2 linked regions of the Arabidopsis thaliana genome follow. The protein of the gene in region 1 interacts with the protein of each later gene in a pairwise test. Each region holds a gene or a part of one and is shown on either strand. Other genes may lie near its edges. The genes, in order: AT5G43520 and BCAT-2.

The links.
Region 2: the proteins of AT5G43520 (region 1) and BCAT-2 interact in a two-hybrid assay, tested with the Arabidopsis thaliana proteins (one large-scale study listed by BioGRID).

What each region holds. Positions count from the first base shown.
Region 1 is NC_003076.8:17,484,627-17,488,538, forward strand, and holds AT5G43520 (Cysteine/Histidine-rich C1 domain family protein), read right to left. Parts: upstream 1,684-3,912; 5' UTR 1,566-1,683; coding exon 813-1,565; 3' UTR 605-812; downstream 1-604. Other genes in the region: LURE1.4 (Putative membrane lipoprotein), read left to right, coding at 1-175; LURE1.5 (Putative membrane lipoprotein), read left to right, coding at 3,523-3,571, 3,667-3,890.
Region 2 is NC_003070.9:3,286,005-3,289,937, forward strand, and holds the start of BCAT-2 (branched-chain amino acid transaminase 2), read left to right. Parts: upstream 1-2,082; 5' UTR 2,083-2,250; coding exon 2,251-2,316; exon of another isoform or gene 2,317-2,426; coding exon 2,427-2,500; intron 2,501-2,597; coding exon 2,598-2,775; intron 2,776-2,856; coding exon 2,857-3,033; intron 3,034-3,115; coding exon 3,116-3,247; intron 3,248-3,324; coding exon 3,325-3,423; intron 3,424-3,498; coding exon 3,499-3,615; intron 3,616-3,677; coding exon 3,678-3,773; intron 3,774-3,851; coding exon 3,852-3,933. Other genes in the region: BCAT-1 (branched-chain amino acid transaminase 1), read left to right, coding at 88-204, 300-395, 530-642, 719-833. UniProt on the Arabidopsis thaliana protein: Converts 2-oxo acids to branched-chain amino acids. Shows activity with L-Leu, L-Ile and L-Val as amino donors and 2-oxoglutarate as an amino acceptor, but no activity for D-isomers of Leu, Ile, Val, Asp, Glu or Ala.

The sequences.
Region 1 (3,912 bases):
TTTCAGTCCAACAACAAGTCCTTTTGATCCACGCTCACTGAACCAAGAACTTAAAATTGGGAGAATTGGTTACTGTTTTGATTGCGCAAGAGCTTGTATGAGACGGGGTAAGTATATTCGTACATGTAGTTTTGAAAGAAAACTTTGTCGTTGCAGTATTAGTGATATTAAATAAGGCATTGTAACTTTGTTAAACATTAATAATAATAAAAAATATTGCTGTTTAATGTTCATCCATGTCCTTCTTTTTACAATAATGAACATGTATAATAATCTAACAGTTTTGTAGTGTGCATTAAACATGAAATTTATTGGGAAACATAAGTCCTTGACAAATAAAAAAATATTTTTGAAAAATTAAACTTATTCATTATAATCAAGGAAACTGTTAGTTTTTTTCTAAACATTTTACATTTAAACAAATTTATTTTGCTCATCTATACTGTAAATCTATTTTATTATATAAAATACGGGTTTGAAAGTTTTTTAAAGGGTCAAAGTTTTTAATCACCGTCACATCTCTAGATAAATAAGGTTCCAATATGTTTGATTATGTTACATATTTACCTAAACCTCTTCCGAGTTACGATAGAGAAAATGAAAGAAAACAAATCTTCAAATCAACTTAAATTTTTTCTTCTTCTTCATATTGCAAAATAAACAACTTACACACGAGTGTTTATGATTAAATCCACACAAATAAACAAGAACCAAACAAGAAAGAGTAATATATCTATTGTTTCTTTATTTTTGGAAACCATATTTCGCAAAGAAAAATATCAATATTCATAAATATATTCGTCCCTTCTTGATCACCAATAGTATCTACGTTTTGGTTCATCCCACAGATCAAGTGCAGCATTCCTCGCATCATTCTCAATACGTGCCTCTAGCTGCATAGCCGCCATCTCGTCTTGCGCCTTCATCAACGACTTTATCCTAGAAGCTGGAGAACTCGCTTCTCCTTCTTCGTCTTCATCTTCTTCTTCTTTCCCTTGGTCTTCATATGCCGCACATGAGTGTAGATGTGTTCCATAGTCACAATCCTTACAGTAATACATCCATAGATCTTCTGAAATAGTTTCATCACAAGCGCTGCAAGTGAAGTACGTGTCTTCACGTCCTTTACACGGTGTGCAATAAAGAAGAGTGAGTGGATGTTCATGATCTTCACGATCTACGGTTTCAGGGATAAACGCACATCCCACATGAAGACTGTAGTTGCAGTTTGAGCAATGGTAAGAAAATCCAGATCCGTATTGGTCACACGCGTCACACGTGTAGACAGACCGATCATCTGGTGGGGAATGAAGCAAGGTCAGAGGGTGGTCCTGGTGAGACTTGTTATTGGTCTCACTAGGAAGGTCGAAACATGACTTGTGTAAGAAGTAATCGCACTCTGACTTTATACATTTGAAAGCTTGCCCGGTCAGCTCTAGCTCGCAGCCAGAGCATGCGGTCTCATCCTCTTCTTTGGCTTTAAAGACACGCAGCGGATGGTTGTGACTTGGGTGCCTCACAGATTGGCGATTAACCGGTTTGGCCTTTGGTTTTCTTGAAGCCATTTAGTATGTTATTGATTTGTGTTTGGTTTTGGTTGTTTTGAGGGAGAAGGGTGTGGAACTTTATATACCAAAAACTGCAAGAGGACTTCATTATAATTGTAGGTTTAATGAGTATGCGTTTCGTTTTATTGATTATATTAATCAAGTTGTCATTGTATTATGCTATTTCGCTAATTATAAGGTTTGACATCTGTATAGGAGACTTTGACATTTGGGATTCAAAGTTTAGGAAATAAAAGTATTTAGACGCGCTTTGGTGTTTATTATTCTAAGATTAAGATAACTTGTAGAAATAAATATTCTAATTAACATCCGAGTTTTATAGCAACTAGGGCATATCCGCATAATATATATATGTGTGTGTGTAGAGAGGATAAGGTTTAATGAGGTCAACGTCTCTAAGTCTATGCTAATTATTATCTAATTTATCTTGTGCAACTTCCATTTGATAAGGTTAATTGGTTTAATATAGTTTTGAGTAATATATTGTCGGTTGTCTCCCCTCTTCTCACCAAAAAAAAAGGTTAATTGGTTAACCATAGTTTTAAGTCTTAAAACAAACGAAAACTTCTGTACAGATCAATTCCCTACCAAAAAAAAGAAAGCAACAAGAAAACAACATGCATAGATCAAATAATGTGAATATAAACATTCAAGTGGTGCTTCAAGTGATGATGTAGTGAGTATTCTATATAAACTACATGCAAGCATCATTATTTATTTATATTTTTCTTAAAACTGTATCCAGTTCAATCAAGGGAAATTAAGAAATGCTAATATATATGCAAGATCTAAATTTCAAATATGGTTGGAAATTTGATCATGTATTGGAATATTATTAAAAACTTTGACGGTTTAAAGATAGTGTCATCCCCGTTAGAAAAGTTTCAAATCTATGCAGTTTCAGGTATATATCTTTAAAAGTCGAAAAATTCTTTTTCTGATTTCGTTATACAAGAGTCTCCAAGTTTATCATCATTTATTACTAATTTAGATATTGAAGATGCTGCACAAAAAGTAAAAAAAATTGATTAATACTTAAGGGTTTTTGTCACTTAAATCTCTTAGTTAAGGGTTTTTTCATTAATAATATAGCTGAGGGCTTTAAAATGGATTTATCGATACTTGAGGGGTTTTTTTCGTTTAAATCTCAAAAACTTGTTTTTTTCTTTTTTTTTTGGTAAAACAATCTCAAAAACTTAATACCAAATCTTATTAATAATCAGGTTACAACTTAAAAGACTTTTGTTTATAAGACTTTGAAGAATAATTTGTTTCTATAGATAAAAACTGAAAGGTGTTTGTTCAAAAAAAAAAATGAAATAAGGTGATTTAAAGATTTTCTTATTAATAAATAATTTAAGCAATTTATAACTAAAAGATATACATATGTAGAAAGAGTTTGGATTGATTCGAGGCATATAAGAATTTAATTGATTTGGTCATCTTTAAGATCATAAGTATTAATAAGGAATCCAAAAGTGATTTAAGATTTTGTTAGAAAAGCAAGATAGGCATCATGAGTTAGTATATATATAATATAGAACTTTTTGATATTTTTAATCAAATTATATTATATATTTATTAGTTCCTCGAATTAAATATTTTAAATAAAATGTGGGCATCAATAGTAATTTTTGAAATCTAAAGTTTTAAACATGTAATTGTTTGCACTTATTAGATGTATATTACTATTTATACCAATATATAACAGATTTTAATAACTAAAAAATTATAATTTTAAAACAAAAACAAACGTAATATGTTACTAAATTTTACTTTATAACAAAATAAAACGTTTAACTGAAAATTAACTCTTTATATAACATATTTATCTACAGAGTCTATAAATATGACTAAATATTGCTTTAATACTCCAGAGCAAAACAAAAGAAAAACGATTCACAATAATATTTAATATATTTTCTTTGTGATATTGGTTAATTTCTACCAAGAAATGAAGTTGCCTATTATATTCTTAACTCTATTAATTTTTGTTTCTTCATGTAAGTTTAAATTATTTAATTAGGATAATGTGTCAGTATTATAATCATTACAAAAACTGTTTAAGAATTTGATATATCTTTTGAAAATTTGATAGGTACATCAGTACTTATAAATGGATCTAGTGATGAAGAGAGAACATATTCTTTCAGTCCAAGAGCAAGTCCTTTTGATCCACGCTCACTGAACCAAGAACTTAAAATTGGGAGAATTGGTTACTGTTTTGATTGCGCAAGAGCTTGTATGAGACGGGGTAAGTATATTCGTACATGTAGTTTTGAAAGAAAACTTTGTCGTTACAGTATTAGTGATATTAAATAAGGTATTGTAATTTTGTTAAACA
Region 2 (3,933 bases), on another chromosome or scaffold:
AACACTCATCCTATATAGTTTCAAGTACTAAGCAAGGTGTTTCGTTCCAAAGTAAGTGTTAATTGTTTTGGTGATTAACTGTGAAAGGTGCTTGAAGTGATGAGAAGAGCAAAATCAAGAGGGTTTTCGGATGTTTTGTATCTTGATGCAGATACTGGGAAGAACATAGAAGAAGTCTCTGCTGCTAATATATTCCTTGTGAAGGTTAACAAACACTCTATTTAAGACAAAAGTGGAAGGGATTTTTTTTGTTCTAATGATGCTGTTGTATACTAATTGAAGTTTATTGAGTCTTTCAGGGCAATACAATAGTGACACCAGCTACGAGCGGAACGATTCTCGGAGGGATCACACGTAAGAGCATAATCGAAATCGCCCTTGATCTTGGTTACAAAGTTAGTAGTTATTCCACGTCTTTTTTCTTCTAACACCGTTTCCAATCTTGAGTCAAAAAACAGAGCAATACTCTGTTTCAAAATAGGAATACTTTTGATGCATGGAAGTTTTGATAAGTGTGTAATGGACTCAGGTGGAAGAACGAAGTGTTCCGGTAGAAGAACTGAAGGAAGCTGAAGAAGTTTTCTGCACTGGAACTGCCGCTGGAGTTGCTTCTGTTGGAAGCATCACTTTTAAGAACACAAGGTCTCTTCTTCCTCTCTGGATACATGTATACATATGCTTAGAATTTTACATTTATCTGTTGATAAATAATCTGCAGGACTGAGTACAAAGTTGGAGATGGGATTGTTACACAGCAACTTCGATCTATTCTTGTCGGAATACAAACTGGTTCTATCCAAGACACTAAAGATTGGGTTTTGCAGATTGCCTAAGTTACTTTCATATCCTATAAATAATGTTGCACTCTCTTGATCACCCATCAAAAGCTTTTGAAATAGTTTTTGGTAAATTTGTGACATAAATTTGTGATATATCACCACATCGTATTAGTATTAAACATTTGTTTCACTCTTCCAAAGAGACAAAAGCAAAACTAAAGACCTTCAACTTCAAGGTCAGGATATGTAATCTAATGGTTTGTCTTTGTGGCATTTTGCCACCATTGGTTCAAAATACCATTGCTGTATGATCAGCCTCCTCAGATTCTATTTGCCAGACTCTACGGCGGTATATTCGCTTTTAGAAAAAAAACAATTTTGTCGAAACTTTTTTTTTTTTGTAAATATTGTAGATTCCACACACAAGACTGTCTAAGATTCTTTGATAAGACACGACAAATGCGATTTAAGATTTTTCAAAGAAATGAGGTTCGTTGATTGTTCCACTAGGTTTGGTATATTTATAATTTGAATTTTTTTTTTTAAAGATATTTATAAGAAAACGAAGGAGTGTGCTCGCGTCAAGTGTGTACTAATAGTCGATGACACTAGTGATACGACGATACTGGAAAGGGACATCAATATTCATTAGTAAGCCATCTTAGCAAAAACGTTGTTATCAGATAAGAAAAGTTCTCAGACTGACGTGGCTGTCAATCTCCACAACGTGTTTATCTCCCATTTGGGTAGTTACGGACAAAGACGTTGAAAAGACAACAATATGGTCTAAAAGATTGACATGGAAAGAAAATTGTTTATCCGACAAAGACCTCTTGGTCCAACGTGGCTTTCACATCACTAGTTTACTATTTCACATCTCATGGAAAATTACTGAAATTAGTACTTGTCTGTATTTTGTTTTTTCGTCAAGTATTTGTTTGTATACTTTAGGTAATTGCGTGCCGAAGAAACATTGCTAAATTGATATTTATACCAACTTACAATAGTTTACAGTTCAAAAATAGAAATCTCCATTTTGAAGATACACCACTAATTTTCTTCATTTATTTACCCCATAAGAGAACGAGAAAAGAACAATAGTCCGTTGATTTCGTTAAAATCTAGTTTCAGAAAGACACGTCTAGATCTGTCTGATCAGGGCAGATAGACACAAGTGACGAAGCAAAAGAAACACAAAAATAAGATAAGAACTCTTACCACTAAAAGATAAAAATAAGAAAAAAAATAAAACAAATTCAACGATTTGCCAAGATAAAAGCAGACACTGTACATAAGCTCCGCATTCACTTACGTGTTGGATACTTAATTTGACACTCTTCTTTGTGTTTTCTCTTCCACCTTCTTTTTCGGTATATCATTCAACAAAATTCTCTCTTCATTTCTTTATTTTGTTGTTTTTTTTATTATTATTGAAATCAAGAGAATTAAAACAGAGGCTCTGCAAAAGAAGATGATCAAAACAATCACATCTCTACGCAAAACTCTGGTTCTACCTCTTCATTTACATATTCGTACGGTATAAACTGGATTCTTACAATCTAATGATGATTACTTACTTAGAGACATAACTCGGATCTCAGATACAAACATGTTTTATGTTCTGTTTTTTTTGTCCTGATGAAATAGCTACAAACTTTCGCCAAGTACAACGCACAAGCTGCATCGGCTTTGCGAGAAGAGCGTAAGAAACCTCTTTATCAGTAAGTTCTCTTTTTCATGATCCAGCCAGGTCATATAGATATTTTGTTACCATTGGAAAAAGCTCTGTTTCAAATTTGTTGTAATTGTATCATATAGAAATGGAGATGATGTATATGCGGATTTGGATTGGGATAATCTCGGGTTTGGTCTAAATCCAGCTGATTACATGTATGTCATGAAATGCTCAAAAGACGGCGAATTCACTCAAGGAGAACTTAGTCCCTATGGGAATATTCAGCTAAGTCCTTCTGCTGGAGTCTTAAACTATGGACAGGCAAGGATCTCGTAACCCCCAAATGTTTCTTGATTTGTTTCTCAACTGTATGATCAATAGAGGTTTTGGGATTCTTTGCAGGCGATATACGAAGGTACAAAAGCATACAGGAAAGAAAATGGGAAGCTTCTTTTGTTTCGTCCGGATCACAACGCTATCCGGATGAAGCTTGGCGCTGAACGGATGCTCATGCCTTCTCCTTCGGTTGATCAGTTTGTTAATGCAGTTAAACAAACCGCTCTTGCAAACAAACGTTGGGTAAAAACGCTTTCTTGTGACGTATATTTCTTCTGAAGAGGTTTGTTTTTGGGATCTGATAAGTGATGATGTGTTTGTTCAGGTTCCTCCTGCAGGGAAAGGGACTTTGTACATTAGGCCTTTGTTGATGGGAAGTGGTCCAATACTTGGTTTAGGTCCTGCACCTGAATATACATTCATTGTCTATGCATCTCCAGTTGGTAACTACTTCAAGGTATATACAATACTCTTGCATGTCCATGCTTTTTGGCGATGGAACGATTAGCAAATGTTTTGTTCACTGATTTGTAGGAAGGGATGGCTGCTCTTAACCTCTATGTTGAGGAAGAATATGTCCGAGCGGCTCCTGGTGGAGCTGGAGGCGTCAAGAGCATCACAAATTATGCGCCAGTAAGTGTTGAAACCAACTTAGTTTCTCAAAGACCAGAGTCAGAAAAAGAGTTTTGATAAACCACGTGTTTGTAGGTTTTGAAAGCACTGAGCAGAGCCAAGAGTCGGGGGTTTTCAGACGTTCTTTATCTCGACTCTGTCAAGAAGAAGTACTTAGAGGAGGCTTCTTCTTGCAACGTCTTTGTTGTCAAGGTAAGATATATTGTGGTGTCTCCATGTCTCTTTGTTGCATCCTAATTGTATCATTGATTCAGGGTCGGACAATCTCAACTCCTGCAACTAATGGAACAATTCTTGAAGGGATTACGCGGAAAAGTGTGATGGAGATCGCAAGTGATCAAGGTTATCAGGTAACACAGATAAGATTGAATCACTCTAAACACCCAAAAACTAAACTCAGCTAAGTTTCACACCTGAGTTATGATCAGGTAGTAGAGAAGGCAGTTCATGTGGATGAAGTAATGGATGCAGATGAAGTTTTTTGCACCGGAACTGCTGTAGTAGTTGCTC